Lepisosteus oculatus: one gene and its partners. The protein of the gene in region 1 purifies or fractionates together with the protein of each later gene. This does not show direct contact. Links are inferred from orthologs where the notes say so. Each region holds a gene or a part of one and is shown in the gene's direction. Other genes may lie near its edges.

What was found.
Region 2: the proteins of sik2a (region 1) and ywhae1 purify together in Homo sapiens (affinity purification with mass spectrometry; 3 studies listed by BioGRID and IntAct, with this or other methods). This does not show direct contact. The link is inferred for Lepisosteus oculatus from reciprocal best matches to the Homo sapiens genes SIK2 and YWHAE.
Region 3: the proteins of sik2a (region 1) and serine/threonine-protein phosphatase 2A 55 kDa regulatory subunit B beta isoform purify together in Homo sapiens (affinity purification with mass spectrometry; 3 studies listed by BioGRID and IntAct, counting the BioPlex papers as one, with this or other methods). This does not show direct contact. The link is inferred for Lepisosteus oculatus from reciprocal best matches to the Homo sapiens genes SIK2 and PPP2R2C.

Annotation. Positions count from the first base shown.
Region 1 is NC_090718.1:15,495,883-15,503,399, reverse strand, and holds the start of sik2a (serine/threonine-protein kinase SIK2), read left to right. Parts: upstream 1-4,511; 5' UTR 4,512-4,881; coding exon 4,882-5,019; intron 5,020-7,071; exon of another isoform or gene 7,072-7,517. Other genes in the region: layna (layilin), read left to right, coding at 573-659, 953-1,055, 1,174-1,540. UniProt on the Homo sapiens protein: Serine/threonine-protein kinase that plays a role in many biological processes such as fatty acid oxidation, autophagy, immune response or glucose metabolism.
Region 2 is NC_090721.1:11,108,941-11,116,708, forward strand, and holds the start of ywhae1 (tyrosine 3-monooxygenase/tryptophan 5-monooxygenase activation protein, epsilon polypeptide 1), read left to right. Parts: upstream 1-4,729; 5' UTR 4,730-4,924; coding exon 4,925-4,988; intron 4,989-5,705; exon of another isoform or gene 5,706-5,738; coding exon of another isoform or gene 5,739-5,775; intron 5,776-7,768. UniProt on the Homo sapiens protein: Adapter protein implicated in the regulation of a large spectrum of both general and specialized signaling pathways. Binds to a large number of partners, usually by recognition of a phosphoserine or phosphothreonine motif.
Region 3 is NC_090696.1:42,685,123-42,692,629, forward strand, and holds the start of serine/threonine-protein phosphatase 2A 55 kDa regulatory subunit B beta isoform, read left to right. Parts: upstream 1-4,423; 5' UTR 4,424-5,094; coding exon of another isoform or gene 5,095-5,164; intron 5,165-7,507. UniProt on the Homo sapiens protein: The B regulatory subunit might modulate substrate selectivity and catalytic activity, and might also direct the localization of the catalytic enzyme to a particular subcellular compartment.

The DNA of each region.
Region 1 (7,517 bases):
TTTCCCAGTCATGGCCTCCTAATAACCCCCGTCTCTGAACTGGCCTCATCACTCTGCTCTCCTCCCCACTGAGAGCTGGTGTGTGGGGAGAGGACTGGAGCATCATCCAGGTGGGGGTACACACTGGTGGGGGTGGAGGGGATCCCCATGACCTGTAAAGAGCTCTGAGTGGAGTCTCCAGAAAAGCACTATATAAGTGTGAGGAGTTATTATTATATTCTGGGGAAGTTGGTTCAGCTCATCATATCCGGGGTATTTTAAAATGACCCAGTTGCAGAGCCCCTGGTTGCTGTTGCTCCAGTCTTATCCCTGTGGGGAACAGTGCCTCCTGCAGGGCGGGCGGGCATGCCCCTCCCAGTCTCACCACTTCCACTGTGAACTGTGGGGGAGATGGGAATGGGACGGGAAGGGGATAGGAGTGTTCACTACAGGAACAGAAGGGTCTGTTATCAAACTCCTTTTATTTCCTACTGCTAACAAACGGCTATCTGGAGAGAAAGGAGGCCACCCACTGGCTGCCGTGTGTTTCCAAACCCTTACCTTCTTGTTCTTCTGAAACGCTCGTCTTGCAGAAGCTGCAGCTACGTCTCCAAGGCCAAAGTACCCTCCGGTCACGGACAGGGAGGAGAAGGTCGACGTGCTGATGACCAAGTCAAAAGGTAAGGGGGCGTCCCGTTGCAAGGAAGGGGTGCTTTTGAAAAACAGTTGGTGCCAAGTGAGCTTTACGGATAACGCCCACATCCTGCCCTCGGCCTGCAGGTCTCCACCGACCTGGCCTGGACTGAAAAATTGTAATTTCCCCCCTGGTGTCCCCGGGTCCTTGTTGATCCTGAAGCTGTAGATTGACTTGGTCCATGCCTTTTATATTCCTGAGTCCCGGCATCCAGCCCCTTCTGTTTTCCTTCTGTAAAAGACCGGAAAGATTAAGCTCCTTCCGATGCTTCCCTCGCAGACAACATCCTCAACATCGTGTACATCGTCATCCCCACCATCCCCCTCCTGCTGCTCCTGCTGGTGGCCACCGGCGTCTTCTGCTTCCGGCTCTTCGCCAGCAGGTAAGAGGCCCTCCGCCCTCCTTGCGCCAGTCCCGCCCTCCGCCCTTGAGGTCCACGCAGCTTGGCGACCCGCGCGACCCCGCCCGCTGACCCCGGCGCCTGTCTGCTTGCCGCGCAGGAGGAAGGAGCGCACGGAGGCGTGTCACAAGGAGCCCACCCTGTGGATGTCGCCGGACCGCGCCAGCAGCCCCAGCCTGGACGTGTACCACGTCATCCGCAAGCAGCACGAGGCCGACCTGGCGGGCACGCGGCCGGACATCAAGATCACCTCGTTCAGGGGCTCCTCCCCGGCCGGCGGCGCGCCCGACGACCAGCTCTCCAGCGACTACGACAACATGGCCGGCAACACCTCGGAGAGCGGCTTCGCCACGCTGGCCAGCACCGAGAGCGGCTTCGTCACCAACGACATCTACGAGACGTGCCAGGGCCGCGGGCGGCCGAACCGGGAGTCCGGCTGGGTGGAGAACGAGATCTACGGCTACTAGGCCCCGCCCCGGTCCCCCCCCCGCCATCCCGCCGCCCCCCAAAACCAATCTGATCTTGCTCTCGCGTATACGGGGCAGCTGTCGCTGCGCAGAACTCCCTGCTGGCTCCGTTATCGGCTATCCTGCTGCAGATGCAAGACCTGGAGAAGTCTCCGGGTCATCGCCCAGAGTGTCGGCCTCAACAGCCCCAACAACCTCTGCCACCCCCACCTCCGCAGGCGCCGGGAGCTGTTCAGCTCTTCCGGCCTTTTTTTATCAACAGACCCGCCAGATCCAGACGCAGTCGCCAGCTGATGGAGAAGAGAACTGCTCCTGACCGGCAATTGTATCTCCCCGACTGCTCTATCCGGACTGGAATACTGCCCCAGAGGGAACCAAACACACCCATGGCTCCTTCGACAAATACTCAGCTGCTTCCGTCTGCAGAACACGGAGAAACCGTGCCAGGAACCCCCGATGATACAGTGCTGGCAGCCGCGCCTGCCTGGGTTTGCACCAGAAGGTCTAAAGACCCGCGCGTGCGGACCCCTTGCGCAAGCCCACTCCCAACTCCGGCCTGACGCTCCCAACAGTCCGCCGGTGCCCGACCGCGCGCCCTGCACTCTGGAAGTCGGAAAACTGGAATGTGTTTGCTGTATCCAATCATGTACACGGAACTGAAATAAACAATGAGAACAACCCAGTTGCCTGGTGCTTGTGTATGTGAGTGAGCCGCGTGCGCCTCTGGTGTTTTGCAGGGCCGTGAGTGGACGCCGGCCTGCAGGGGGCGGTGTGTCGCAGCTGACGGACCAGGCAGGGGACGTCGTCGCCCCCCCCCCCCCTCCCCCCAGATCAGTCAGGTGACGATGCACATCTCTTCAGGGGGCCAACAGGGTGGGTGGAGGCCCTCTGAGGAGGTACTTTTCTCACAGACATTCGCTCACAGACATTCTGGGTCATCGGATTAGATGCTCCACATTGATACCTCTGACACTCGGGCTCCTTTCCCCTGTTCTCTGAACGGAGTTGAAGCTCTTATCTATTCATTCCACAGAATGATTTAAATCTGAATCCAAATGCTGCTTCTTGGAAACTTGGGCAAAAAAAGAACACATAGGTGGGAATTATGGGGAAATGCACTTAAAAACAATACCAGGAGGCACTTCTTTCCTTACGCAAAGGATCGTGGGAGTCTGGAACAAGCTGTCCTGTCCTGCTGTTGAGACCAGTACTCTGGTTTGTTTCAGGAAATGACTGAATGAGGTCCTGGGATCATTTACTGTAACTACTAACTACCAGGTGGCCTAACGGGGCCGGTTGGCTACTTTCATTTGTAGCTGTTCTTGTGTTCTTCTGCTCACAGCAGAGCAGAAGGGATTCAAAAGAACTGATTGGGTGTGTTAGTGGAGAGGCATCACCAGGGGAACTTTGACAGGCAAGAATGTCAGTCAGTTCTGTTGCAAATTGGGGGGGCATTAACAACTATTATGGTCCAGTGCTTTTCAATAGGCTTGATTAAATGAATATTTAATTTGCACAAACGTTAACAGCTAGGGAGGCCCAGTGGCCCAGTGCCACTGCCTCTGCCCACTGCCTCACGGCGCTGGGGCCCTGGGTTCAATTCCAGACCCGGGGGGCTGTCTGTGTGGAGTTCGCATGTTTCCCCAGTGCTCATGCTGTGCTTTCCTCCCACAGTCCATGCTGGTAGTTTCAGTTGCTTCTGGGAAAACCGGCCCGGGTGTGAGTGCGTGTCTGTGCCTGTGTGCCCTGCGATGGTCTGATGTCCCCTCCAGATTGTACTCTGCCTTGTGCCTGTCTCTGGCTGGGATAGGCTCCAGCTTCCCGGCTGAACTGGAAGAAGAGGTCAGAAAATGGATGGATGTTAACAGCTAGTATTTCTACATCAGAGGTGATAAATACTAGGAACTGACCCTGTGTTCTAGTTTCTTCCCTGAACTGCATTCTTACGTAACTGAGCTCAGTAACTTGTCCATGTGGCTGCGGAACAATACACAATAAGGCGTCTGGGGGAAGTCACTCTGTGCCCGAGGCCGATTCCCCACATCTCGCCCCCCCACTGCGTGCGCTCTGCCTGCAGTACCCGCCGGCCGCCGGCAGGGGGCAGCGCTCCCCCGCCGAAGCCGAGTGCGGGATCGCGGAAGAGAAGACCCCGCGGCGGCCCTGGCTGTGTCGACAGAGGCTGCAGCTCAGCGGGTTGACAGTCAGACTCTACACGCAACAATAATGTTCGAGTCTGCTTGCGGGTCCAGGGTGCTATTCAGAGCGAATTAAAATTGCGTTCTGTGTTGGGGGAGACAGGCATAGATACGCGTGCACGTTTCTTGTTACATTGTTTTGGTTGGTGCTTTTCGTGTAGGCTTAGGATCGCAGGTAACTCGGAAATACTCATTACAGCGGCCTGAATAATTGAAGAATGCAGCAGAAACCTGGGGCGAAGCGCGGGGTGCAGGGAACATTTTCTTCTGCGTGCTTCAGTGCGGAGCACAGTACGAACGTGGCAAAATAAAATAAAAACAACACCGTATAATAAACTTCACCACGATAAACTGCCATTATAACACAACAGGTTGTAGCTACAGCGTTTGCGACCAAGACAGGTTGCAGCCAGACGGCACTTCAAAAGAGCGGGAGTGCTCGGCGGACACGCTTAAGATCGTCTACCTAACACAGAGGCACAAGGTCAACAGTATGTTAACAGCTTTGAAATGCACATTTTAAAGCCCTCCCCTCCAAAAACAAAACAAAACAAAAAAAGCTCCGAGCCGCTCAACAAAAGGTATTATCACAGCTCCCATCTGCAGACCCGCGGCGAGCGCGCCGGCCGAGCGCGCAGATTGACAGCTTTTAGAATAGCACTCGCCGGCGGTTGACGTCAGAGGTGGATCTGGTCGTCTTGGAGACGAATTGGCACCGGAGTGTGGAACGGCTTCAAAGGCCCGCCCCCTGTACAAATACCCCCAGCGGCTCTGACGTCAATGGACGTCAACCAGGGAACACGATGCCTTCTGCTCGAAGTCAGCCCGTGCAGTCTGCCCAACAGGGCTGAAACATTATAGCCCTTTTGTATTGGAAAGGGCGGCGTGACAGATTCCTGTCCCACCGGTAAATGTCCTGTCTCCCTTCGGCTGGACTGAGGACGCTGTCAACCTTCAAGCTGGCTCGGGAAGCGGGGATTTTACTGCGCCTCTTTTTAATAGACAGTTCCTAGCGCCCGGCTGGGTTTTTTTTTCCTGCTTCTTCGTCTTCTTCCTTGTGGCTCAAGCCGTGCGGTACCCCGCTTTTCTCTCTCCCCCTCTCCCTCCCCCCCCGACCCTCGACCCTCTTCACCCCTTCGGAACAGCATGGTCATGGCGGATACTCACCAGAAACCGACGCACCGCGGTCCGGTCCGGGTGGGCTTCTACGATATCGAGCGCACTTTAGGCAAAGGGAATTTCGCGGTGGTGAAGCTGGCGAGACACCGCATCACCAAGACCGAGGCAAGTACTGTGCAATGGACCGCGGCTCGGCTCGGGTCCGCTCGGGTTCGGCTGTCACGGCCCGGGCGCGGGGTCTGACCCAGGCGCGCGGGCGGCGCTCGGCTGCAGCGTCGTGAACTGAGCCGGAGCCGGAGCCGGAGCCGGAGCTGTGCGGGGCGAACTCTCGGACCGGGTCAGCTCGTACACTGGCGTGCTCAGAAACCCATTCACACCCCGAGCCCGCCGCCAAGCCGGGGAATACGGGCTGCAGTTTTTAAAGTGGAGCTGGGGGGAGGACTGCCGGAGCCGGGGCGCCCCGAAGCTGTGGAAGTGTCCCGGAGTTAGTTCAGGGCAGGGTGAGGCCAGCTGCCCTGCGGCTGCAAGCCCCCGGTCCGGGCTCTAGAGTCGGCGGCACAGCCGTGCAGAAGTTGCACGGCTGGTGAACATTTGCACACAACACCCCTTGACTGTCACGACACAGCGCCGTGAAAATAATGAGACATTGATGATGATAATAACACACACCGTGAAGTTTAATTTCAGACTAGGAGACTCAGCACTGGGAGCAGGTCACTCTCGGATATTCGTAACTGGGTTTTGCACGACAACTCGCAAAGATGAAAAAAAAAGGGCTGCGCTCGGTCCGCCGGCTTATGCAATGTGACAGGGCGATGTAAACAGCCGCGGTTTTGGGGGCATGGTCACTCTGAGCACGGAGTTACATAATGCTCATGAATGATATCAGGGGGAGAAAGCACATTTTCTGTCCCCCCAACGCCTGTGCTGGCGGCGGCGGGAGTCTGACAGGGGCAGCCCGGCTCCTGTCGGGGTGTCGCGGGAAGTAGCGGTGCCAGGGGCGGCTGCACACAAGCGCTCCGGCCGCAGGTGTCCTCTTATAAAGCGGCACTGGCGGCAGAAAGCGCGTTTTCCGTCTCCCTGGAAGTTTGTGTTTGTGTTCCGGAGAAGCCGAACAGACCTCTAAGAGCGCGCAGACGGCCGACAGTCGCACTGAAAGACGTGTATCGTGATTTCTCACGCTCCTCGTCTTGTTATAATGATCGTTGTTGTTCTGTTTTTGCTGCTCCGGGTTGCCTGCCCGGCCCCCCGCACAGTTTGTCGTCACCTGTGAAACAACTGGTCGTGTTTGAAGTTTCCCGTGAAAGAAGATAAAAATACAGTAAATACACTGAAACCCGATTGTATCACTGCAGTGGTAATAACAAACCCGCCCTAATAAGAACTCCGTCGTGACACCAGGAATAATAAAGAACTGTATTTATATAGCGCCTTTACAGGTGGCTTCTCAAAGCGCCTTTGCAGAACGACGACGACACAATACACAAGATATGCACAATGAGAATACACAGTGAGAGGAGACAGTAGTGGGGATACTGAATACAGCAGGAGCAGAAGCAGTTCTGTTCAGTCCAGTCCTGTTTAATTCATAAAAACGAATTAGCGTGATATTTAATTGCTTCTTAGTGTTTTTTTTTTTACAGTTCGGATAACTATAATAGACTATCAACCTTTTTTGTTCAGAACATGCAGCTCGTGTAAACTATTAGCAATTAATGGCTGAATTTGAAGGAATATTATATGTTGTACGTCAAATGTCAAGACTACTCTTGTTACACGTGTCAGCGGGCAACTGCAAATCTGATTATTAATTGCTGTCTTCTTTAGGCTAATGAATTTCCGTGCCCTGTGCTGCTGGCTGCACTAACAACCCCCAGGCGAAGCTCTTTCTTGGCGGCGTGGCTCATTAGCGTTCCCCAGGGCCGGGGTTAAAGGTCCCCGGATAGCAATGTACTGTAGGACCGGAGTAAGCTTTTAATTAAGAGACATCGCTTTCTGTATGTTTCGGGGTGGGTTTTTTTGTGTGTGGAGTTTTCCAGAGCAAGCGGCGATCGCCTTTTTTGTACGCGTTCTTACACTTTCACCAAAAGACGGTCCCCAACCCCCCGGAGTGGCGAAGGCAAATATGACCGTGTTGGGTGCGTGAATTTGCCCAGAGACGGACGACTTTCCTGCTCGGTGCCGAGCTGTGATTGTTAAGTGTCTGTCCTGTGGAGCCGGAGGTTGTTGACTTTTTCAGGTTTGCGGGATTAAGATTATGCTCAGTCGCCCGTGTCAGGATGCTCCTCCGGGCTCCCTGGAGCACAAACTTGGTTTAACGTCTGAGATAAAAGGTAGAGATGTGGGTGTGATTTGTTTTTGTTCCAGGCAAAAAACCGGTGAGATATGTTTTTGACGCGACACCTGGCGCGATTGAAGTGTTTCATCCCACAAGTGTCCACAGCCTGTAGCGCCTCCGCTGCGTCACAACCGCGACGTTACAACGGCCGAGAAGCCGCCGGCGTTGAAATGGCGGGGTTTGTTCTTGATAACCCAATAAATAACCTCCAGTGGAGAGCTTAATGCGCAGCTATAGACACTGTAAGGATGCAAAGGCTATTCGAGGAATGAGATCAAATTATTTTATTGCGTTAAACCTTAATTTGTGAAGCACGCGAACGAAG
Region 2 (7,768 bases), on another chromosome or scaffold:
ATAGAGTAATATTGTTTTAAATTTATTGCTGCTGAGTGGCCATTTAAAATATAAACGTCAACTGCTATTTTTGTGCATGTGTAGAGTTTATTTTAGGTTTCCCAATTAAAGAGATTTTTATCCCTCTGTTTCTTTCTTAAGTTCAGTATCATCTCCTTTATTAAAATTTATCAGAGAAAAAAAAATGATCAGAGTTCATTTGGCTGGATGTCTCATCCTCAGAAATGCAGAGTACAAGCATTACAGAACACACGCAAAAAAATGACAGAATCACTCACTGAACGCCTGCCAGTCCAAGTACAGAATCGCTCACTGAACCCCTGCCAGTCCGAGTACAGAGTTGCTCACTGAACCCCTGCCAGTCCAAGTAAAGAATCGCTCGCTGAACCCGTCAACCTGAGGACAGAAGCACTCACTGAACTCCTGAAAATCTGAGGACAGAATCATATACTGAACCCGTCAGTTTGAGAACAGACTCGCTCAATGAACATGCAATTCTGTCCTCAGACTGATGGGGGTTCAGTGTGCGATTCTGTCCTCAGACTGATGGGGGTTCAGTGTGCGATTCTGTCCTCAGACTGATGGGGGTTCGGTGTGCGATTCTGTGCTCAGACTGATGGGGGTTCAGTGTGCGATTCTGTCCTCAGACTGATGGGGGTTCGGTGTGCGATTCTGTCCGCAGACTGATGGGGGTTCGGTGTGCGATTCTGTCCTCAGACTGATGGGGGTTCGGTGTGCGATTCTGTCCTCAGACTGATGGGGGTTCAGTCTGTGATTCTGTCCGCAGACTGATGGGGGTTCGGTGTGCGATTCTGTCCGCAGACTGATGGGAGTTCGGTGTGCGATTCTGTCCTCAGATTGACAGGTTCGGTGTGCGATTCTGTCCTCAGACTGGAGGAGGTTCGGTGTGCGATTCTGTCCTCAGACTGATGGGGGTTCGGTGTGCAATTCTGTCCTCAGACTGACAGGTTCGGTGTGCGATTCTGTCCTCAGACTGATGGGGGTTCAGTGTGCGATTCTGTCCTCAGACTGATGGGGGTTCAGTGTGCGATTCTGTCCGCAGACTGATGGGGGTTCGGTGTGCGATTCTGTCCTCAGACTGATGGGGGTTCGGTGTGCGATTCTGTCCTCAGACTGATGGGGGTTCAGTCTGTGATTCTGTCCGCAGACTGATGGGGGTTCGGTGTGCGATTCTGTCCGCAGACTGATGGGAGTTCGGTGTGCGATTCTGTCCTCAGATTGACAGGTTCGGTGTGCGATTCTGTCCTCAGACTGGAGGAGGTTCGGTGTGCGATTCTGTCCTCAGACTGATGGGGGTTCGGTGTGCAATTCTGTCCTCAGACTGACAGGTTCGGTGTGCGATTCTGTCCTCAGACTGATGGGGGTTCAGTGTGCGATTCTGTCCTCAGACTGATGGGGGTTCAGTGTGCGATTCTGTCCGCAGACTGATGGGGGTTCGGTGTGCGATTCTGTCCTCAAACTGATGGGGGTTCGGTGTGCGATTCTGTCCGCAGACTGATGGGGGTTCCGTGTGCGATTCTGTCCTCAGACTGATGGGGGTTCGGTGTGCGATTCTGTCCGCAGACTGATGGGGGTTCGGTGTGCGATTCTGTCCTCAGACTGATGGGGGTTCAGTCTGTGATTCTGTCCTCAGACTGATGGGGGTTCGGTGTGCGATTCTGTCCTCAGACTGATGGGGGTTCGGTGTGCGATTCTGTCCTCAGACTGATGGGGGTTTGGTGTGCGATTCTGTCCTCAGACTGATGGGGGTTCGGTGTGCGATTCTGTCCTCAGACTGATGGGGGTTCGGTGTGCGATTCTGTCCACAGACTGATGGGAGTTCGGTGTGCGATTCTGTCCTCAGATTGACAGGTTCGGTGTGCGATTCTGTCCTCAGACTGGAGGAGGTTCGGTGTGCGATTCTGTCCTCAGACTGATGGGGGTTCGGTGTGCAATTCTGTCCTCAGACTGACAGGTTCGGTGTGCGATTCTGTCCTCAGACTGATGGGGGTTCGGTGTGCGATTCTGTCCGCAGACTGATGGGGGTTCGGTGTGCGATTCTGTCCTCAGACTGATGGGGGTTCGGTGTGCGATTCTGTCCTCAGACTGATATGGGTTCCATGTGCGATTCTGTCCTCAGACTGACAGGTTTGGTGTGCGATTCTGTCCTCAGACTGATGGGGGTTCGGTGTGCGATTCTGTCCTCAGACTGATGGGGGTTTGGTGTGCGATTCTGTCCTCAGACTGATGGGGGTTCGGTGTGCGATTCTGTCCTCAGACTGATGGGGGTTCGGTGTGCGATTCTGTCCACAGACTGATGGGAGTTCGGTGTGCGATTCTGTCCTCAGATTGACAGGTTCGGTGTGCGATTCTGTCCTCAGACTGGAGGAGGTTCGGTGTGCGATTCTGTCCTCAGACTGATGGGGGTTCGGTGTGCAATTCTGTCCTCAGACTGACAGGTTCGGTGTGCGATTCTGTCCTCAGACTGATGGGGGTTCAGTGTGCGATTCTGTCCTCAGACTGATGGGGGTTCGGTGTGCGATTCTGTCCGCAGACTGATGGGGGTTCGGTGTGCGATTCTGTCCTCAGACTGATGGGGGTTCGGTGTGCGATTCTGTCCGCAGACTGATGGGGGTTCGGTGTGCGATTCTGTCCTCAGACTGATGGGGGTTCGGTGTGCGATTCTGTCCTCAGACTGATGGGGGTTCCGTGTGCGATTCTGTCCTCAGACTGACAGGTTTGGTGTGCGATTCTGTCCTAAGACTGATGGGGGTTCGGTGTGCGATTCTGTCCTCAGACTGATGGGGGTTTGGTGTGCGATTCTGTCCTCAGACTGATGGGGGTTCAGTATGTGATTCTGTCCCCAGACTGACAGGTTCGGTGTACGATTCTGTCCTCTGATAGGGGTTCGGTGTGCAATTCTGTCCTCAGATTGATGGGGGTTCAGTGTGCGATTCTATCCTCAGACTGATGGGGGTTCAGCGTGCGATTCTGTCCTCAGACTGATGGGGGTTCAGTGTGCGATTCTGTCCTCAGACTGACAGGTTCAGTGTAAGATTCTGTCCTCAGACTGATGGGGGTTCGGTGTGCGATTCTGTCCTCAGACTGATGGGGGATCAGTGTGTGATTCTGTCCTCAGACTGATGGGGGTTCGGTGTGCGATTCTGTCCTCAGACTGATGGGGGTTCGGTCTGTGATTCTGTCCTCAGACTGATGGGGGTTCGGTGTGTGATTCTGTCTGCAGACTGATGGGGGTTCGGTGTGCGATTCTGTCCTCAGACTGATGGGGGTTCAGTCTGTGATTCTGTCCTCAGACTGATGGGGGTTCGGTTTGCGATTCTGTCCTCAGACTGACAGGTTTGGTGTGCGATTCTGAGACTGCCGGCCTGGGAATAAAACCAGCAGGCAAACATGAACAAGTAGACACAAGAGGAAAAACCACAGAGTGGAATTTAAAACTGAGAACAGCAGGAGGCCCTTCTCTACACAAAGAGTCGTGGGAGTCTGGAACAATTTATCCCACCCTCTTGTCAAATTTGATCATCCCAGCTCCTTAAAAGGAGCGACTGGATGAGATCCTTCGATCAACTAGCTACTAGCAACCCAACAAGCTAAATGGGCTGCATGGCCTGCTCTCATTCGTAACCTTTTTTCTGTTGTTAATAAAATGAAATCAATATTGAGCGGGCCCTCCTTCCCTGCTTGTGGCTGCTAATGTACCACGTGCTTCTCTGAGTGCTCCTGCAGCAGCTACTCCTGAGGGAGACACTGTGCCTTCCTGAATCATCCTCATAGCCTGTGGAAAACAGACACGACTGTAATTTCACATAGCACGTCATTTTTACAGGCCTGCTTACTTGTTGTTGTTCTGACTTGTCGTTCTTGTTTGCTTCATTAATGTTAACACCGGATGAATTAATTGAACAAAAGAATAAGCCTTTCTGTTGGTTGATATTTCACACTCTACATACAGGGATACAGCCTCAGCTTTTTACTGAAGCTTTTCTTCAGAACAGATCAGAAAAACTGTGGGAGACGGCTTTTAGGGTTTTTTTAGTTGTAAAAAAGATCTATTTACCTGTAATGGACAAATCTGTTTTTTTGACACATTGATTTTCATAATTTTAACACAACTATCTTGTGAACATTTGTTTTTCTTTTAAATGACGCTTCTATGTTGTGCCATATTTTTCAGTTAATTTTATTGCATTTTGTAGCATTTTTCATCCCCCTAGAATCCCAAATCGAAATTGTGTTCACGAACAGAGGACTTCCAGAAGAAGTCCGGGGACCACATAGGGATCCCCGAAACAAAGGGAGCCCCTCTAATCCCCAATCCTGTACAGTGCTGTTGTGTAAAACTAACGTCCGCAGTAGATCTGCCCTGACGACGATGACGGAGGTTCTGCTGGCCTCTGTGTTTCTTTCCAATTACAAATCGGTTTGTCACACAGTAATTACAGTTCTCGACGGAACCGCCTGTGAAAGTCCGGGACCGGTGTCGCAGTGACGGGAAGGCGCCACATTCCCAACCGACACAGCTCGGGCTCCTTCAACTGCCGGAGCCCCGCTCGCGGACTCCACGCTCTTCGCTTCAGAGCTACGCGCACACTCGCGCGGGGACTCCAATCTCCAAGTTTCTGTGGTTGCCAGGGAGCGGTTGCTATGGCTGCGAGCTGGTGCAAGAAGGGAGGGGAGAGCGAGTGAGCGAGCGAGCGCAGGAGAGAGAGAGAGGGTGGTGGACTGGGTTAGTTTCCCGGATGGAGATCCATCGCCATCTTTAGTCCAGTGCTGCCGGTGGAGTGGGGACGCGCTGCTGCTGCTGCTCCGCCAGGAACCGCCGATCGACTCACGCAGACTCGCCCGCCGCCGAGCCGCTTCTCCACAGCCAGTGCAGACACCGCCACGCCGGCTCCGAGCAGACATGGGAGACCGAGAGGACTTGGTGTACCAGGCCAAACTGGCCGAGCAGGCTGAGAGATACGACGGTAAGAGGGAGGGGAACCAGGGCGGTGTTATTTTTGGGGAAGAAATCTGTATTTTTCTCCTTCGCTGCCGAGCGCCTTCCTCGCCCTCCCTCTGGCGGAGGGGGGCTGGGGGAGAGGACAGGCGGCTGAAGATGGAGTCCGGCAGAGAGACAAAATGGCGACGGTTTCACGGGGGGCAGACGGGCTGTGCGGCGGGGAGGGAGAGCGGCGCCGGGCACACGCCCCACGGACACCCGCGGAGACACGGGTGACCGCGGGCGCCCGGCAGGGGACAGCGAGACCGTGCGGGTCCGGAGCTCTCGGCGGGGGGGAGGGGGATCGCGTCCGCTGTGTTGCAGCGAGGAATTGCATCCAATTTTTGCGAGTTTGCAAAATGGCGGCTAACAATAGTAGATAAATTAGCGGAGGGGGGCGAGTGCGGGGCGGCGGGTCCGGCGGGACTCGGGCGGGAGCCGGGGCGGGGAGACGGGGTTTTGGGCCGGGAGGCGCGGCCGGGCGCAGTCCGGGGCTTTTTTCCTCCGGGGGAGCGGCGTCGCTCGGGCGGCGGGGAGGGGGGAGGGTGTCCGGCGTGCAGTGGGGTCCGGCTGGCTTTGTCCCCGCTGGGGCCGGGCCGGGGGCGAGGCTCGGCGAGGGCAGCCGGACCGCTCCGCTCCCCGGGGGGCAGGGAGAGGGGTGGGGACACGGACCGGACCCCGTCTTCTCGGGGCTGTGGCGGCGGCCGGGGTGCTTCAAAATGGCGGCTGCAGTGAAATGGGATTTGGTCTGACACCGAGGTTTCCGAATGGAGGTGGTTTTGAATTTTGATCTTTTCAAAGAGATCGTCTTCATTTCTGTCTGGTCTTGCGCTCTCGCGTTCGTCTGCGCGTCCGGCGTGACACACGCCCAGCAGAAACGGGAGCAGACCGAGTTAGATTAAATGTTTTATAAATCCTCTCTGATATCAGAGCAGAGCTCCGCGTGTTTTGAAGTGAATGTGACCCAGACCCGTCTTATTTGATCATATTTAGTCAACCGTTTGGTTGTGTGTGGCGGGGAATCCTGCGTTAAGTAATGGCGACCCTGGATCTTCCCCTCGGCGGCGCGGCAGCTGTGGAGCACCGTGCCCTGCGTGGGGCGCCGAGGTGCCGACTGGGGTTTAGCCCGGAGCTCGGCTGTGGGTGTGGTAGGGGCAGGGGTCCACGCCGCGCTGGGCTCTTGCGCAGCCGGCTGCAGGACGGATCCCTCCGGCTGCACGGCAACATCGTCCTGCGGTTTTCACGTCCTGGGCTGGGATCGGGCTCTTTCGGAAGGGGGTTGTCCGTACTGTGTGATTTTAAACCGGAGGGAGCGGGGGGCTTAAGATGGCGGTGGTTCGCTCAACGTCGTAATTGGCTGGAAGCTGACAATAAACAGAAGAGACGCGGTGCTTGATTAATGCCCCTCCGTATCCAAAGCTGTGAGCCGTCGTGCACGGAGCCACAGGTGACCGAGAGCTGCCGAGAAGCCCGTCGGCGATATTACGGCATGTCTGCTGCATGCTGGAGTGGTGAATGGCGAAGGCTCCTCCCTGCTGTCCGCCCGCAGTTCATTCATTACAGCAGCCGCCGGCCGCAGGCGCTTTTCCTGCCTGCATCGTCGCCCACAGCGGCGCTCATGTGCCCAGTCCTGATTTTAGCTGGTTCTGGTCGTCACCCCTCTTAGGCAAACCACAACCATCATGCTGCGGTTCTTTTCTCTGTCTGTCCTCTTTGGTGCAATACTAGCATACACAAATAAACTTCGGGATCCAGTTGAAAGCTGGATGCTTTGGGGCTGCTGTGTGATCATTCGAATTCCGCTTCTGTGTGTACATGGGCAAATCTGCCCCTGTGATGACCTTACCTAAATTAACTGAGAACTGACAAGGGTTTGAAACACCCCATCTCTTCCTCTCGGTGAGCTGTGGGCTGGAGTGACAAACACGTGCGTTGGTGCAGACCTAGGTGTACAGTTACAGTTGTGCGCCTTACATCAGATCCTGTGAGGGTTTGAGCCACATGCTGCTGCTGCCCCCTGCCATTCAAACTAGGCCAGTGCTGCTGTCTGCGTTATGGAGGGCATCCACAGAGAATGAGGTCACTGTTTGAAAAGGCCATTTAAATGGGTCCACGTTTGTGGGCGGTGTAATGAAGCATGTCAGAATGGTGTGGCTTCTTTTTCCTAACTGGATAAACTGCAGGTTCTTGCAGCTCTCCTCACCTGTAAATGGGGACTTTCAGATGCAAGTGTGGAATTCCATTTCTGTAGTGCTTTTCTTCCCTGAGTATCCCAGAACACTCTGCATTTAGGGCAGGACCCTCTTCATCCATCAGTGAAGAGCAGCCCTACCTGGATGACGCACTGCTCAGGCGAGCAGGAGGGAGGAGTGAGAAACTGCTGCACCAGTTAAACTAAGGGGGGCCTTAGGGGAGGGGGGGACAGACTCTGTAAATCCAGAATGGAATTAAACTGGGTTAAAACCTCATGTGGTCTTCAATGAGCAAGTATCAGGACTTCCATTTAACACCCAGAGGACTGCAGCACTCTCTCCTAATCACCACAGTGGGCCATTGGGATGTTGGTTTGGAATTGTCTTGTAGAAAGAAGAGCACCCCCTACTGGTCCACCATAACCAGGTTTTCTGTCTGCCATACCAGTACTGACCTGGCCCAGCCTTGCTTAGCTTCTGAGGTGTGGCAAGACCACATGGTGCTAATGCTGCTGTCATTGTAACCTGTAGTGTACTTCTATTGTGTGTCCCTAAGATAATGTGAATTGTGTAT
Region 3 (7,507 bases), on another chromosome or scaffold:
GATTAAAACAATGCATGCATTTTATCATATTACAATGAAAGTCTAATGTGTGTTTGTTTTAGTGTTTTTATTGGCAGTAGCCATTATGATGCACTTTACATAAATATGTTAAATGCAGGTCAGTATTTGTTTGCTTATCCCTTTGTGGCCTATGGCCCATTGAACTCACCCAATTATCACTTGATATGCTTTGAGTTTTCATCTCTTCCTGGGGAGCTCTGACTTCAGTGTTTTCTTCAGCTTTTCAAATGCGCATTCAGTTGGATTTCAATGTGTCGCATGCACATTTTTTTCCAGGACATCAAATCCCTGTATTGGAATCAAGAGTCAATTATGTGAGTCTTATTTAGGTGTTTACTAAGACGTCAACAGCATGTCTCAGAGGGAGTCATTTATTAGGTATTATTAGCATAGAACAGGCAGGAGTATTTTGGATACAAGACGATGATTTCATGAATCTTAAAAGCAAGGCTCAATGGTATCTTACCGTTGGTGCAACCCTTAGAGCAGTCGCTCAAGACGGAGAATATTCAAGGATGAGAATATCTAATGTAGTGCCTGTCCTCAGGAGGGGCCAAAACTGAACCAAGTCAAGGCAGTCATAGTGGTGTACAGTACAGTGTCCTTTGTTACATGAAAGGTTAGAGAAACAATTATCAAAACTAAGCTAGATTCTCAGCTATTTTAAATACTCCTGGGTCACTGTGCTTCATACATTATTATATTTTTACACTGTTTGATAATTTCATGTATTTTTCAATGCCCTGCCTTGTGTCTGTTGTTTGCCCTAAGGCATGACCCTGAATTGGAAGAAATGGTTAGAATATAGATGGATGGAATTTTGGTGCTATTGGATGGATGTTACATAAGCCGAGATAAACCTAGATTACTACCTTCTTGAAATAATGATGTAGAACCATGTTACATGGAATCTGAAGTTTAAGCTTATTAAGTTTGTGGCTTAAAAGAAAGAGCATAAAAAAAGATAAACATTCAAAATGCTGATTGCTGGGAAGATGCTAGCACATCTAATCAAGCTTCTGTAATGTAACATTAATGGTAATGGTGCTCATGGATAATGATGAAACCAGTTATAGCGCCAATGTACATAAAACTTTAGAAAGAATTATACAACCTATATGAATTTGAGAGTGGAAGAGGAAAGTCCTTGATATCAGTGCGTGGCATCCTGCAAGCCAAATCTTCAGCAACATCTAGAAACAAGATGCACTTGGCACATAATGATTAGGTTAATTGAGGCTCACAGTATTGACTGGCAATGCTGTGTTAGAGTTTGTATGGACAGTGCCAGAGTTAAGTTAGGACAACACAGCAGTGTGGTAGTTCGTATATACAAAGTTGTTCCCAAAATAAAAAGGACTCGCTGGTGCACCCATCGAGCGGCCTTGGCAGGCTGTGTTAGACAGTGCAGTGAAAGTGGTGTGTCTCTTTAAAGCAAGGCCTGTGAATTTGCTAATTCTAAGTGTCCTCTTCAGTGAAATGGGTAGTAGCAGTACACGGCTCCTGCTGCACTTGGAAGCAAAGGGGCTCACACCGTTATTTAAATTGCCTTTGGAAGTTCAGGTGTTTCTGCAAGAGCATCAGATCTCAATTTCAAAATGCTTTGTGCTTTGAGAATCCTGTCTGGCTATCACAACTGGCATAGGTGAAGAATCTAGGGCTACTGGGACCCTGTTTGAGTTTTAGATGTGGGTGTCAAGATTAATGCCATAGTGGGGGAAAAAGCAGCAATTGATTGAAATAAAAATGCAGACAGGCACTGTTTCTGCTCTCTCTACGGTGTTACCTTCCAGGTTTTTACTGTAAATGAGACGTTGATCTCACTTGACTTATCTGGGTTAATAAAGGTTTATTTATGCTAAAACATTTATAAATCTAAAGGTCTATTCACCAGCAACCTTCCCGCCACATTGCTTTACTAAAGGAGTCGACAATGGCTTTGTTTAGAAATGCCAGAAAAAATCATTTAAAGTCAGTAATGTGCTTACATTGCATGTCTAATGCAGCTTCTGCTACTGAATTGTTTTATTAATTTCTTTGAAGTCTGGTTCATAACTTGTGCAGGCTTTGTTAGTCTTGAGAGGAGATAGTTTTGAATGGAGGTTACCTGTTCACACACACAGGGGCCAGGCATCATTTACAGACTAAAACCAACATTGCACATTGTGTTACATGTATACGAAAGTTCCAAGTTCATATAATCCGTCCAGTCAGTCCATTTGTGCAGGTTTGCCTGTTCTGAGAATTGACAAGCAAAGCTTTCCAAGCTTGAATTAAGGAAGGGAACTTTTCATCCCGTTTCCAGCTTCTTAGCATCTGCAACTACTAGCTCTAAATCTCTAGAGGAAATGTCCAGAATGACATTCAAGCCCAGTGCTTCCACTGGGTCTACATGGGAGGTGAATCATGACCTTGAACAATGAGCTTTCTGTACAAGCCTACATAATGTGACTTGAATGACAGTAGATCAGGTGTAAGACACACTAGCTTTGTAAACTAGGCTTGTTGCAGGGATACTGTACTAAGCAAGAATCTTGACATAGTCGCAGTGTCTCAAAGTGAATGAGTCTGCCAGTATAGAAGTCTTCTGAAGTACACTTTCAATTTGTATTCAAATACAAAAGCTGCTTGGTGCAGACAGGATGATGTTTCCTTGACTTTGAAGTTTATCAGTCAGTGGGGCTGAAATGACCTAAATGTACACAAAATAACCTGAGAAGTCAATCATAGTCTGAGTTCAGGAGGCACCTTTCGTTTCTTGAACTGTTTAATGCAAACGCCAAAGCAAGCTAAAACATCACCTCAGGACCGCCAGCTTTCATTGCTGTTCATCAAAAGTCCTGGATACTCACAACCCTTCTACTGTTTGTCAATATCAATATGATCAGCTATTTATATCATGAACATTCTGCAGGTAAAGACCATATCTGCTACAAGTTTTTGTCTTCTTGGGAGAATTTGCCAAATAGCTCTTAGCTATGTTAAGCATACATATCTTCACCTATTCACCATCTGTAAAAGGCTAAAAGGTGACCACACCAGTACTTTGACCCACTTTTGTAAAAAAAAATATTTACAATGAGAGCAGGCTATTTGCCACAGCTAGTTCAGTTATTTATTTCTGAGAAATCTTTTTTTTTAAACGCTAAAGTTATTTTTTTTGTTTGCAGTCCCTTCTGACTGAAAAGAATGCTAACTCATCGTTTTATTTAATTTTGCCATTTTAAGTAGCTTTACACTCGGCCCGATTCAAGATTGGAGGATGATATTGAAAAATAAATACAACTGTTTATACACAGCTAAAGATTTCAGATGACAAATTACCTAAAAAATTACTTGTCCCATTGAAACACAGATTTAGGAATAAAATCAATAAGAATACCAGAAAATGGGTGGATATAAAATAACATCACTATTTCTGTTATTTGTTAGTCTATGTTTTACGTAACTTTAAATGTTTGGGAATTTGTGATAACTTTGTTACTTATGAGAGCTACTGTATATCTAGTTTGTAGAACAGTCACATATAGGTCACAATCCATAGGATACTGATCTTGTTTTACTACATTATCAGAATAGCTTCTTTGAGTTCATTAATGGAAACACTAATCCTTAGAAATTCTTTCGTTGCAATTAACATCTGTGTTACTGAAAATCTACTGCCACATTCCTTATTACTGCTCTATTTCATAATGGCACATGCATGGATCCCTTTGAAATCTCTTGGAACTGTAATTTTTATATTTGTAAAAGGCCTTAATAAGATGTTTATTAATTGTTTTTTTGTGCTTTTGGTTTGAAGCCTAGTGGAATCCTCGGGTATATCTCTGTAGAGAGTTAGGCTGAATTATTTCCAACACCATTAAGGGATTACTGTTAGTCATATTTTCTGGACTCTTTGTTGGTGAAAACTAGTCCATTACTCTTCTTCACACAGTGACACTAGACTCTATGAGGCTGGAGACTCCTTCATTTAGGAGACTCAGATTAATGTGCATCATCTTCCTGGCAGTTGTTTACAAACCAGTGCTACAGACGTTCTCTTTTAGTATTCTTATCCACTGGAAAGGAGGTATATTTCTTATCTGCCTATATTTCTATATTGTAATCATAAAGGATTTGAGCCATATGACATGTCACTTTCAGCAGCTGGTATCAGTTGGGGGCTACTGCTGCAGCCTTACAGTAATTAAAGGCAGAATCTTTGAAACATTTGTTGTTTTGCTGCAGTAGGAGAAGTAACGTGATGTATTTCAAAGCAGAGCTGCACAGAGAGTTTTCCCCTCTGCTTCTCCTGCCTCCCAGAGTGCAGCTTTAATCACCTGCAGTCTCTGGAAATGCAGATCATGGCTAGCTGCTCATAGGCTAAGCTGGGAGGAGCCTACTCTGATGCAGCAGAGGCCTATGACAGCAGTAGCAGTGGCAGGCAGCAGCAGCAGTACTCACACTCGCTTCTCTCTCTCGCTCTTTCTCCTCTCACGCGCGCGCATGCACACACACGCACACCGTTTCACACTGCACCAGCAAGCCTGCAAGCAAACAAGCAGCCACACTCATTACCCTCTCCTTCCAGCACAAATCCTTTGAGATCCTGCTGCAGCAAGCACGAGGAGCCAGCTCTGCATGGGGGCTTGTTTAAGGAGTACCTGACTAAAAGGACTAGCGTGTTTCTTCAAACCACAGGAGTGCTGCTGCAGCTCTATAGAGTTGGGGGGGGGAAGCCACAGAAGGGACCATCTCCTGTTTTCTTCTTCTATTTTTTTCTTGCCAGTTTGCTGTACCAGCTAAGCTTTTTATGCCTTCTGTGTGAGTGGGTGTGAGGGGTGCGGGGGTTGTGTGTGTGTGTGTATGTGTGTTGTCCCCCAATTTTTCTCTTCCTCTCCTTCAAACATCTCAGCTGCACCACAAGTCTGTGCCGCATCTCGTCTTTTGGCTCTCATTATGCTATCCTCTGAACCCCTGGCAGTTCTCCGCCTCTGCTAGGCAGTGGCAGCATGGATGGTGCTCTTGTGAGGAAGCCTACGGATTCGATTAGTCCACTGCGGATGGGCATGCTGAGTAATCCTGCTGTAAATGGGCGAGGACATTGACACCCGAAAAATCAACCACAGCTTTCTCCGAGACCACAACTATGTGACTGAAGGTAGTGTTGCATGTGTTTTCTAATGCTCGCTTAAATGAGAAGCTGCTTGCTAGCTGAGATTATTATATACTAATGTATGCGTTTAGGTTATTTTAAACTTTGAAATCAGATGTTTCCTATAAGGATTTTTTTGCTTGTTCTTAGCAATGGGTAGCAGCCGTATTCTAGTTTATTCTGCACATTACTTAGAAACCTGACCTGCATCTCCCTAACGTCTAATTAGCTGTACAGATAAGAGGTCTTCACCAGCAGTAAATATCTGACGAACTTTTCAGAGGAACAGAGAATCCATCCTTTTTGCCTGTAGTGACATTGCTGATCCAGTGCACCAGAAGAATAAACGATTTGTATAAAGGTGTGCGAATTCATCAGGTGGACTCCTTGTTGGAGATGATTATTCATTTATTTTTAGCTCAGCTGCTCCTCTAATTAGAATGATCGAAAATCACAGATGCACTTGATGAAGGGTGTATCTCAGTTGATTACTAATAATGAAAACCAGAGAAAAATGATTTGTTCAATCACCTACAAATAATATTTATGGAAAGCATAAAATCTCTCTGACAGTGCAAGATTCTCTGTTGCTGTGGCCTCCACTATTTTCTACTGTAGGGTACAATTATAATTTTAAATGGACATTCTTAGATCCTGTAGATGCTGAATGCTGTGTGAATGATTTATAACAGAATGAGTTGTGCTATCAGTGGCAATTCAGCTAGCATATTTCACTGTATTTACTCATGGGGATCTCTTTTGGCACACAGGTGTATTGCTTAGTTTTTATATTTTTATCATGCGTACCATTTTTGTAGTTAGTCGTGACGTGTAGGATTAGCAACCCCAAGGCTGTGTTTTTAGTTGGTTTTATGACTTATGTCACCCTTAGTATAAGAGTGTACAATTATCTGTTTGATTCTGTAAGCTGTTAGATGATGAAGGTTGAACGCTGGCAGGAAAATGTATGTACTGTAGAAGCAGTTTTTCCTTTTTTCAGATGCAGTGTAATAGCTTTTGCTACAAATGCTGCAGATTAAGGGCCTTAGATCTTGTGATTTCAGTGGCAGCCAGCAGGTTCCGTTTATTCCACTTTAATGAACACATAACGGCTAACAGGGAGTCTAAATCTGGTAAATGGTGCTAGATGCAATAATTGGTGATCTTAATTTAAAATAACAAGCCAAGAAAAAGCAAGACCAAAACATTTAAATGTTTGTGGGAGGGAGTTTAACATTGGAATGCCTGCCAAGGGTTTTATCTCGGAGAAAAATGATGTAGTGAGTCAGCAAAAAACGGGAATTCTGCAAACTGTTCTCTCCAGTTGGTGCATGAACAAGGTGAGGCTTCATTTACAGTCTCAGAGAGTCGAGCATGACTGTTAACCAGGCTAAATGTATTCAGAAAAATGTGGCCAGCCAGGAAATTGGAGTTTAAGGAAAGAAAAACATATGCTATGTTGTAGACTCATAATCTATATAATGTAGTATATGTGAAGTACAGAAACATGCTACCACATATATGATTTCTAATGTAGCTTACAGGAGTCAGCCCCATGAGAACATTTATAATTACGTTTTTGACCCCAGCTTGTCATGTAATATTGGATACCCAGCCTGAAAGTGACCTTTTGTTTGCAAGTATTGACTGAACTATAATTTCTGAAATGGATTCTTAAATTATGTTTTGGGTCTGCCTTTTTTTAGGCTAAAAAAGATCCTATTCGGTTCATTTTAGTACAATGTAAACCATATAATTGAGCAATTTCTCACATTTATTTGTTGATTTATTAAAGTGTTGCTCATGCACTGATTACACTGGAATTCATAACAGTTTTCAAGCTCCTAGAACTTTAAGCAGGCCTTAATTTTAATCTCAAACCATGAAAATAGACCTTTTGAATCAATGTGGGGAAAATACTGTTACATTGCTTTTCTCCCCAAGTGCTAAATATTTAATGTTAATGCAGGTACCGTATGTTTACGAATTTGTCGATGGCAGTACCATTTAAGAATCTAAGCAAAACAGTGTGAGGAATCTTTACAGGTATTAGTTATATGGGAGTCCTGAAGCAAGATTAAATATGGGCTTCAAGACTTTTTTTTCCATTTTTTTAGTAGTGCTTGTTGAATTGGTAAAAGTATATGTAGAAGTTAATTCTACAATAAAGACATGTAAAGAAAAAGTTTCAACTGTGGGGATTTTGTTAGGGGTGTGGGAGGAAGTAAGGAAGCAGGATTAGGAAGCAAAGAGTTTGGCGTGTTTGGTAAGGATAATAAAGGAAGGAGGCTCTGAGGGAGGGCACGTCAGGCGAAGTGTCCAGACAAACGGAATGCTGGGAGATGGATT